3 linked regions of the Arabidopsis thaliana genome follow. The protein of the gene in region 3 interacts with the protein of the main gene of each other region in a pairwise test. Each region holds a gene or a part of one and is shown on either strand. Other genes may lie near its edges.

Region 1 (3,757 bases), on a different chromosome or scaffold from region 3:
ATTGAATTAAATCTAAGAGTGTAAGACATGTCCAAATGCACAGTTTTCCCCAAAACTCCTTACATTATATCCTCCTAAAATCTGGAGAGAGGAAACAAAGAATGTTGAAGAATGCCCTGTTTCTTTTAGTAAAAGTGTTTTTTGGCTTCATTTCTTCATTTCTAAACTGAGAGAGTTTCCCAGAGAGCTTTTTCAAATTTCAATGGCGGTTGGCGTCGCACGGCTTGCCATATAAGTTATGTAGATTGTCCATAGATACGAAAACGAGTTGCTCACAAGTGGCTGCAGACAAAAAGAAACCAGACTTCAGTTGATAACCAAAACTCACGATAAGACAAAATGAATGCAGCAAATATATGATCTGTCTTGAACAAAAGGTTAACCAAAGTGAAGCTAAGTTGGAAATAAAGTGGTAGGTATCAATCATACATACCTGTAAATAAACAGGGCAGAACTTGAAAGTAATAAAATCACACAAAGGCCAATACATGACACCATTAAGCATTGTGGGAAGTAGGTCCCTTTTCAATCTAGCAACTATCTCTGAACCATTTTCACCTGAAAAAATAATTGAAAATCAGACTTTGATGTCATCAAGAATAGCTTAGGATCAAATTCTAACAACAATTCTCCTCTCTTCAAACGCCATTTAGAGAAAGAATGTAACATCAAACAACCTGCTCTATAACAACCCTTAAGATTGAAGGTCAACAGGATCTAGAGTTTCAGAAAAATCATACTTTTATATGTTGCTCAAAGAAGAATATATAGACTATAAGAAAGGAACCAGTTGATTATTTTTCATGTACAGCTGAAAGCTTACCCTGTAGGGCTGCATTCAGTGAGAAGAAAACAACATTCATGGCAGGCCCATAGACTGTCTGTCCCATGGCCATTTTCTTAAACGTTGTGATCAAATCTCGTTTTGGGAAGAGACTTGACATGAGATTGAACCAATAGTGAAGTGTAGGACCCAAGATTAATAACCCATATCCTCCCATCCTTGCTGTTCTTACCAAGTCATAAGAATCCACTGAAGCTTGTGGAATTGTCTGTTGAAAGATCAAACAAGTCACACTTTTGTCAACAACAATACAAGAACAAAGAAACGTAAGCAAATATAACAACTCAATTCACATAAAACCCGCTACTACATCCACATTACTAAGAATCGATCATTACTTCTTAATCTAGAAGTAATTCTTGTCCTATCTCAAATCTCTAAAGCACAATGGAGATACAGTGACTTCTACTATTACCATTTGTTAGAAAACACAATGGAATCTTAGGACTGAATCAACAAGAACATAATCACAGAATATCTAAAATCTGATTTGTAGGCTTACAAAACAAAAATGAGATAGATTTTTGAAATTACCTGCGAAGACAAATCGGCTGCTATGTAAATAAGCGAGGACGTGACGGATTTGGTAAGAACCGGCCGAGATTTCACCATTCCCAAATACCATCCGATGAATCCTGCTGTAGAGACCGTCGAAGAAGACGAAGACGAAGACGAACAGAAACCAGAGACACCTGTTTCCTTTGCTTTCCCGAGAAACTGAGGCGTACGATAAAAAGGCCTCGACTGCAATCGCTGGATGTTTCCTCCTATCGGTAAAGGGTCGAGCTTTCCAAAAGGATTCGTCATCGTTGCTCGCTGTAATCGAAAGATCCGAGCGGCGTCGGAAGCAGCGTTTCTAAACAATGCGCCGGTCATTGTCGTGTGATGGCTCCGAGAGTTTTGGGGGTTCAGGGAAGGGTTTTATATATAACGGCGGTGGAGAAGAAGAAACAGAGCTCTGTTTTTTTAAAAAGTTTAAATGCCAATAAATAATGAAACACACAATTTGTATATTTCGCGAGTATAAAGGTTTTTCTACTCGCGTCTCGTACCATTGCAATCGTTCTTCATAAATTAGTTTTGTTCTTAATAAATTAATTAATCATGCCTTTTCTAGATACAGAATTGTCGAGATCTTTCCTAATAACCGAAGTTTTTGTGAAAGCTATAGTGTTACTTAGCACATTGATTATATATAAGCCAACAAATTGATTATTATTTATTATTAGCTAATCACTCAATAAACTCAAAAGCCAAGCCAAATTATTGGAGAAAATAACCTTTCCAATTTCTATGTTAGGCGGAGGAAAGAGTGCCTGAAGGCTGAAGAGCGCGTGACCGTCAAAGGTGGACGGTTCAAAAACCAAACATCCCCAAACTGTTTCTGTTCTGTAGTGTTCTAGGGTTGTTTACACGTCCTGTTCACATTGGTTAGTGTCGACGTCATCACTTCTGACACGTAAAACTTAATTCAGTGACGCTAACCTTTAGTAGAAGCCACGTGTTGCGTTCGTGTCCCAAGTTCCGACTTTTAGCCACTTTTTATGAACTCTTTTATTTTTATATATTTAGTCAAAAAGAACGTAGATCATTGGAAGAGAAGATTCTCTTATTTTCTGTCGGCAATTTTTCGAAGATTCTAAACCAAACTAAACGTAGATGATGTCACACACACAAAAAAAAACAAAAATTATTATCGGTATCACTCATGACTCATGTGTCCACAAAAACTCGAATAAAAAGATGGTCCCTGGTGTGTAAGCTCAGATACATTTTTTATATATATAACATGGACAAAATAATTTTCCATTTAATAGATACAAATACAATCATACAACACATTTTGTTAAGTTATAAGGGAAAAAATTAGTACACATTGCAAATTAACAAGAGACTTGACGGACTCAAACGAGCAGTAAATACTCAATACCAAGTAATCAGAACACCCAAATCGATCCACACTTGTCATCACTTCTGTGTTAATCTTATAAGTTCTTATATTTCTTTTACTGAAATATCAAACAACAAGAAACTTCTATTGTTCAAATGATATTTCGAACCAAGTTTTCATTATCAGGTTTTAATTTTTGTATCATTCGCATTATAAGAAAGCTAAATAGTTACACTGTTTCAGCGAAGAACTGTACACGAGGGATCCAGCAGCAGATTTTTAGTCAAAAGATAGAAGCTGTGAGACTGAGATAGATATATGGAAAAAAACCTAACTTATTCTTCCTGGTCTTGGTCTCTGATCCATTTGGTTGCCACCCATTTCTCTCCTTTGGTCACCGGGCAGCTCCCGTGAAGCGAAGTCTGCAGAAGCATTGGAACCACAGCAAAGAGCTCCTATTAGCATGAACTAATCCAAGGAATAGGAGTCAAGAGAAGAAATGAAATGTGTTCAAACTTTGTTTACCTGATCAATCGTTCCATTTGGAAACACGGAATAAAAAAGAAGACCATCTCCTTTCCGAGGCTTTACTTTCAACCCAATACATTGCTTGTAATCGTATCCGATGCCCATATTAGAACCGTTCTGTTAAATAGAAAGCGTTTAAATGGAATCAAAACTAACGAAAGGGTCTGTATAATAAGTAAGCAAATAATATATTATAAACTGACCTCAAATGGGAACATGGTTTCACCGCCTTCTTCAACATCAGATAAGTACAACAGGAAGGAGGCAATCTGCGTAAATTCAAATGAGGTCTCGGGTTCTAAAGAAAGCTATAAATATGACAGATTTAAGGATTTTACCCTTTGGCTTGATTGTGGTCCATATTCTGTTGGGTTGAAAACATCATAGTGGGAATCATACTTTTGGCCAAGTTCATACCGTAAAATATTGAATGACTGCCAAAAACATCAAATCTCGTACAATTAAAGGGGTGATAAGCACTAAACCAAAGGCCA
Region 2 (3,757 bases), 3.9 Mb from region 3:
GGGAAAGGATTTAAGCCGAGTCAAGAGACGTATAGAGCTTTTATCGACGGGTATGGAATAGTAGGTGATGAGGAAACATCAGCATTGTTGGCCATAGAAATGGCTGAATCACTCAAGCTAAGAGCAGAAGAAGAAAGCTAGAAAAGTTGAGCTTCGTTGGTAAGCTGGTGAAGCAAAGATGACAAAACCACATAGAAACCAATTGGTGACACAATGTGGACAAGTTTTGTGGTGGTACGAGAAAGCGGTAAGAAGTGGTACACATTGTAAGATGATACAACGTTACCCATTAAAGCTATAATGATGAAAGAGGAGATTTATTCCACACTAACACCTCATGATGATATCTTATTGCTGAAGCAATTCTTATTCAAATCACATTCATTGATAGAGTTACGAGGAGAGACAGATCGTACAAAGCAATCACTCTTACATGAAAAAAAAAAGACAAATGGAAAAAGAAACTGAAGAGTTAACTTAAAAGATAAGAGCCCAGACGGGGAAGACGACGAGACAGATGATCCCGACGGTGTTGGAGATACCATTGGCTTTAGTAAATGCATTTCTGAATCCACCTGAAGCTCTAATGTGTTCTTGAAGCAAGTAACATCCAATACCTAAACATATAGCTAAACCAATCCAACTGTCTCTGAATGTGCCAGCAATCAAATTTGGTGCCACCACGGCGAGAAGAACCAAAGCCACCGGTAATTCCAGGTATTCTAATAACACAAACAACAGAGATAAGCCAAATCAGAATCAAAGTCTTGTTGCTTGTAATGGAGAGTGAATGAAAAAAAGTAGACAAACCTCTGGCGTGTTTAGGAAAGAAGAGTTGTACAACAACAGCTACGAAAGCAATCCATTTACCAATTTCTCCTCTGTCAAAGTTTCAGACACAAGTTAGGGTTTAGGAACATAATGATAAGTAAAGAAAAAGTCTCTGGCTTTTGTTGTGTTATACCTGAAAATACCAAAGATCAAGGAAGGAAGACTGAAGAAGATGTAAGGAATGAGAAGTGATGTGAGCATATTCGTCTTCCAATTGGTTCGATCCAACACCAACAAGTATCTGCATTTATTACATCAAAACCTCATCAAGATCAACACAAGAAACGGATAGAGGAAAGAGACATAGAAACAGAGAGAATGGTTACATGGCGGCGATTGAAGCAACCCATTCGAGGACAGAGGTACCAAAGCCTAAACCAGTGAGTGTGAAGGCGTGTGTAGCTAGGTTCTTAGCAGCGATAGTGAGCTCGTTGAAATCGGATCCGATCATGGCCTTAAGGGTTCCATGGTCATTCCTCAACGACTTCATAGGCATCTTTTCTTGCCGGAGAAGAGAGAACTATGAATAATTGATGTGAGAAGAGAAGAGAGTAAAGAGTAGATAGATGGTGATGAATGTGTTGGAAGACTTTGGTTATAAAGATATTACAAGTGACTCGATGGATACGTTTACGCCACGTGGCAGTTATGAAAATAGTTTAATTTGGACGAACTAGATATTTTATCTATATTAACAATGATATAGTATAGTTTACTTAATAAGCTAATCCGATTTCTGACATAGACCTTAGACACATGTCGACACCAACTTCTCACACATGAACGTTCTAATAAGTTTGCTTTAACAAATGTAATTGGTGGACGTAAGAAACAATGGGACGAGCCAGCTGTCCAGTTGTATTTTTTTTTAATGATAATATTTATTACAATGCAAATAATTAGATATGTTATGGTGGAATCTCTTAACATGGATATATTAAGAATGGGAAAAATCAACATCTAAATCATAGGGTATGTCGGTATACATTAAAGTCAGAGATCGTCAAATCCAACTAAATAATAACAATATGCTTCAAGCAGATTTATTATATTTAGCCAATAAGTTGTATGGATTCGTTGAAGTTTTCATTCTATAATTAGACCATATGGTTTTACAGTTTTCTACTGTAAATGAATTCACAAAAATCTAAATTAAAAAAAAATAGAAAAATACTTAATTATAAAGAGATACTAGTTCGATAATCATATATGTAACTAAGTATAAATAAAACCAAATAGAAAATGTGCAAGTAAATTGTTGAGCTAAAAAATCAGATGAGATGGATCAAAATCCAATCAGTTAATGGTTACAAAAAAAAAAAAAAACAGAGTGGCAGAAGTTATGGTTTTTAATATGATTATGTGATGTCGGCAGAAGATTTGTCTTGAGTAGGACCAGCCAAATAAAAATAAATTTTGTTTTACCATATTAAAGTTGTTGTTGACGGAAAGAAAAAAATGTAACATGCTCCAGAATCGTAACAAGTAAGAGAGTATCGAACTCTCATTACGGTAACGAAATACAGATTCATCCCTAGCATAACTACATAAGCGACATAAGCTATGAATCAGAGTCCAAAATAAAATTAGAATTTTTCGTTTTTCAGTTCTGATTTTTTTTAAAGATTTAAGCCTAAAACCTAAAATGTTTAATAACTCATGAGAGTTGAACCCAATTTTTTCTTTTTTCTTTTTCGTTTTGATGATTTTAGTTTTTAATCAGTATTTGTGATCTTTCCATATTATATTTATGTCGTTTATGATAATTAAAAATAAAACTAAAATTTTACTTGGAGTAAAACCCTCAATATTGTTGGATCGGTCCTGAATATGACCTCACTAGTTGTTACTCGGTTAAAGAGTATCACGTTAAATAAGCTGCTGAGTGCTGACACTACGCTCCACAATATCCATATTAAATAATAGAAACTTAGTTTAACCAGAACGGGAAAAATGTCATTTAAATCACGACTTCGCAATTTGTGGTGCTTTAAACATAAACTTTGTACTTTGTGATTAAAATCATCAATTACGTGTTGACTTCAGATAAAATCACTAACTTTCGTTGACAGAGCCAAATTAGTCACAACATCAACTGAATAAACAGAGCAATTAGAAGATGTGATTTATCCGTTAATGAGACCGTTTAAGAGCAAAACGACGTCGTTTGCAATTGAAACAAAAACAGGAAAAATGCCATATAAATCATGACTTCGCCATTTGCAGTGCTTTAAAGCATGAACTTTGTGCCTTGCAATTCACTTTGATTTCAAAATACAGGAGTGAATTCGAAGAAGAAAAGAAGAAGAGATTTGAGGATCTAGGGTTTCTTATTTCTGAATTGGGGATTTTTGTTTCAATTGCAAACGACGTCGTTTTACTCTTAATCGTACTTATTAACGGATAAATCACAGCGTTAATGAAAATCTAGAATGGCCTGTAAAAATTCTCCCATATATCTAATTTTGAAATAATTTTGCTGGAATAGAGTTTAGTTGATAAGATACACTTCAAGTGTTTTGTGTTGAAGGAAAGAACTATATGATCGTCATGTGGATCAAAAGCCCAAAGCCCAAAGCCCAAACCTTTTGTAACCGTTGTTTCCGTCTGGGCCAAAAGCCGAAAGCTCATTTGGTATCAATAAAAAAAAAAAAAAATCGTTATCTGTATTGAATATTGATGATATCTTCCAGCAATCTCATTCATGATTGGCCACTTCAAAATCTTTCAATCAAATTTTAGTTTTGGGTTCCCTCAGAATTCCTACGTTATTAGAAAAATTATAATCATTTCTTGTTTTATTTCTTACTGAATGATGCGAATGTTCCTAATTACAGAGTGAATAGAAAGTTCCATCTTCATATAAATCCCGGTTAATAATAATTGAACACTATTGATTAAAGTAATAAAAATATGTTTCTCAAAC
Region 3 (3,757 bases):
CATGTGGTTCATATAATTTTTTTATATTTAAATATAAGAAACAAGCTTTTGTTAATAAAATGACGAATGGAGAAGAAGAATATACGGTTCCTCCACATTAGCAATAGAACCATACTGTCTCCACTCTTCCATTGAAGGTAAAAAAATGTAATGGGCTCTCTCTCTAAAGAACGGTTTTTCTGGCAGAGTTCCGTCTAAGTTTCCAGTTGAATCCGGCTTTGGTATCTGGCTTATGACACGACTAATTCAGTATCTTATTTTTGTTATTTATATGAATAATGTCCACGGTTTTAATTATGGGGATGCCACTTTATACGGTGATTCGTTTAGGTGAAGGTTTTACTTCTGCTTGTACTATTGGGTCCGCGGTTGATAAATACTATCAGATATGATTGCATACTTGCATGTAACTGATAAAAATAATATTTGTTACTTTACGTATTTTGAATTACCAATTAGCCTGTATTTCAAGTAACCAGAACTACTAGTTACTAAGCAAGCAGTTGTGCACTTATTAGATCATAATAATAATAAGTACTCAATAACTAAAATCACCTTAAAACGGAAATTAAAAAAATGATCGACTTTGATGTTATCATATCCGCCACTTTTGTTTCGTTCTCTCGGGCTGAATCGTTTGTTTCGTTCTCTCTATCGTTACTAGCTCTCTGTTTCTTGTTTTGTCTCTATTCATTAACTTTGCTTCCCTTATTAGTAATTATAATTTATAAATTCTAAATGATGTCTCTGTAAAAGAGAAACAAAGTAGATAAATATTAAGGGAGAAATGTAAATGTAACTGCATAATCGGTTTGCTACAAACTTATTTTTCCCTCCTAAAATGTTTCTTTTCTTTCTTTGCAAAAGATTCATTCGCTATATGCCTGTATTGGTTAAACATTAGTAGAAGTATTTTTGCAATTGGCGTGCAGAACATGGGAAGTTAGTAGCTACTTTATATATGGCCACATGACTTCCTCGCACGTCACGTAATCGGTGAAATGCTGTCCATGTGACAGTCAGACTCTTCGTAAAACAAATGTTCCGAAAGTAGTAACTACGGATAATTTATTTATTTTTGCAAACGTTACTGTAGTTACAAAATAAATAATGTTCCTTTGTAACTTTGGCGTGGGATTTCCAAAAAGTCTCTTGTCACATGAAACGGTTTTGAAAAATTTATAATCTCACTTTGAATTTGGTATATGTATTCAGACGAATGATAAGATACCAAATTATTTTAGTCGTTTTAATTTATAGATTTATTACTAACTTTTTTTTTTGTAAATTTAAACTTTCAGATTAGGCAACACCAAATAAATGATATATTTAATAGAAAATGTATGGTCGAAAAAAAATATTGTAATGTCTCTACACCAGAAGCTTTTGTTTTGACTTTTGAGTGTTTGAATCATTTGAAGTTTTGAACAGAATAATTCCACAATCAAAACCAAATAATATTTTATCAGGCGAGCGAAAGACAAGATTTTGACAGGTATTTGTACAAGTACTGAGTCGGTCAACAAACCCCGTCTGGACTCTGGACCCGAAGTAACCCAACAAACGTTGCGACAACTACATTAGCACCACCACCAAGGCACCAATAATGCAACGTAAGAGGGACGCAGCAAAACTGTCGCGATGTGAGATTCACGCGCTCTAATTTAAACGTTGACTCTTTGTTTCATCGTTACTCTCTCCCATTTATTTACTTCGCATACTCTCTTCGTTACAAGTTTCCATTTAATTACTCTTAAGTCTCTAACTAATAGCTTTAGGGATTCGTCATTAATTTAAGGCAACGTAAACTTAAAGAGTTTCGACTAAAAGCCGTTTCAGGAAACATACATCATCACATACTTTATCTAAATAACTGGCTTATTAATTTTATAACAAAAATGACGTTATTTAGTGTTAAGATATACAAATATTTAATTTTTACTAAATTAGTTAAGGTAAAATTGTGTTCCTTTCTGTGAGTTTTCCGCAATATTAAAAAACCCTAGAGAAATTAACAAAACGTAATTGACTAAAAAAAGAGTTCAAAACAAAACATTTGTTACATTTATTTCATAATTTAAAGACTAAGTATAAATCCACTAGAAAACAGATGATTAAAAATGCGGGTCCCACAATACGCCAATCGTCAAATAATCGCGCACCTTTTCGCCACGTAGCATAACAAAGTCACGTAAGCCCTTCCTCTACATTACAAGACCAAACTCAAAGTCTCTTTCTCCCCCAAACCCAAAAACATTGACCCAAAGAGAGAGAGACTTCTATCGTGCGCACCTCTCTCTCTTAATCCTTTATCCTGCGCACCACCACCACCATCTTCTTCTCCGGCGAAAACAAACCCACCGCCATGGGGAAAGGTCGTGCACTTTCCGACGGAGTGATCAAAAAGATCATCCTTTCATACACCTATGTCGCAATCTGGATCTTCCTCAGCTTCACAGTCATCGTCTACAACAAATACATCCTCGACAAGAAGATGTATAATTGGCCATTCCCAATAACTCTCACCATGATCCACATGGGTTTTTGCTCTTCCTTAGCTGTGATTCTCATCAAAGTCTTCAAAGTCGTCGAGCCTGTTTCAATGTCACGCGAGACTTATCTCAGATCCGTCGTACCAATCGGCGCGTTGTACTCACTTTCTCTCTGGTTATCAAACTCTGCTTACATCTACCTCTCTGTTTCCTTCATTCAAATGCTCAAAGCCCTAATGCCTGTAGCAGTTTACTCAATCGGGGTTTTGTTGAAGAAAGAGACTTTCAAATCTCAGACTATGACTAACATGCTTTCGATCTCGTTTGGTGTTGCTATTGCTGCTTATGGTGAAGCTAAGTTTGATGGTTGGGGTGTTTTTCTTCAGCTTGGTGCTGTTGCTTTTGAAGCCACTAGGTTGGTTTTGATTCAGATCTTGCTTACTTCTAAAGGAATCAATCTAAATCCAATCACTTCTCTCTATTACGTTGCTCCTTGTTGTTTGGTTTTCCTCTCTGTTCCTTGGATCTTTGTGGAGTTTCCAGTTCTTAGAGATACTTCGAGTTTCCATTTCGATTTCGTGATCTTTGGAACCAATTCTGTTTGTGCGTTTGCTTTGAATCTTGCTGTGTTCTTGCTCGTTGGGAAAACCTCTGCTTTGACTATGAATGTGGCTGGTGTGGTTAAGGATTGGCTCTTGATTGCATTCTCGTGGTCGGTGATTAAGGACACGGTCACACCTATCAATCTGTTTGGTTATGGACTTGCCTTTTTGGGTGTTGGATATTACAATCACTGCAAGTTACAGGCGTTGAAGGCTAAAGATGCACAGAAGAAGGTTCAGGCAAGTGATGACGAAGCTGGGAAGCTTTTGGAAGAGAGGGAAAGTGAAGCTAAACGCAACGAAACCCAAGATTGATCTGTTCTGATTCAAGAATGCAATTTCAGGAAATAAGAGCTTCAAGGTTAGAATGATTTGGGAAGATGGATTTTGCATTTTCATAGGTATGATTATCATTGTCGGTGTTCGTTCGTCTACGTTTTAGTTTTGCGATTATATTTTTAAGTTATGGCTGATTATATTACATAGTGATGGATGGGTGTTTAATTAGAGGTTCATGAATCTTTTGAACTCCATTGTATCTTCTTCTTTTGAGTTGTATTTTGTTTCTTACTTCCTCATGAATCTATCTTTGTGGGTAACAATTGTTTTAGTAGTACTTCTTTATATTTTTTCCCTCCATTGAGATTGTTAAATGTCAAATTG

What was found.
Region 1: the proteins of AT2G25520 (region 3) and AT4G33905 interact in a two-hybrid assay, tested with the Arabidopsis thaliana proteins (one large-scale study listed by BioGRID).
Region 2: the proteins of AT2G25520 (region 3) and COR413-PM1 interact in a two-hybrid assay, tested with the Arabidopsis thaliana proteins (one large-scale study listed by BioGRID).

The regions. Positions count from the first base shown.
Region 1 is NC_003075.7:16,253,873-16,257,629, forward strand, and holds the start of AT4G33905 (Peroxisomal membrane 22 kDa (Mpv17/PMP22) family protein), read right to left. Parts: upstream 1,889-3,757; 5' UTR 1,721-1,888; coding exon 1,379-1,720; intron 1,053-1,378; coding exon 824-1,052; intron 559-823; coding exon 434-558; intron 283-433; coding exon 193-282; 3' UTR 1-192. Other genes in the region: AT4G33910 (2-oxoglutarate (2OG) and Fe(II)-dependent oxygenase superfamily protein), read right to left, coding at 3,071-3,157, 3,261-3,380, 3,467-3,532, 3,602-3,697.
Region 2 is NC_003071.7:6,947,733-6,951,489, reverse strand, and holds COR413-PM1 (cold regulated 413 plasma membrane 1), read right to left. Parts: upstream 1,640-3,757; 5' UTR 1,328-1,639; coding exon 1,158-1,327; intron 1,073-1,157; coding exon 965-1,072; intron 882-964; coding exon 811-881; intron 723-810; coding exon 478-722; 3' UTR 465-477; coding exon of another isoform or gene 430-464; 3' UTR 298-429; downstream 1-297. Other genes in the region: AT2G15980 (Tetratricopeptide repeat (TPR)-like superfamily protein), read left to right, coding at 1-141.
Region 3 is NC_003071.7:10,858,585-10,862,341, forward strand, and holds the start of AT2G25520 (Drug/metabolite transporter superfamily protein), read left to right. Parts: upstream 1-2,083; 5' UTR 2,084-2,365; coding exon 2,366-3,409; 3' UTR 3,410-3,757.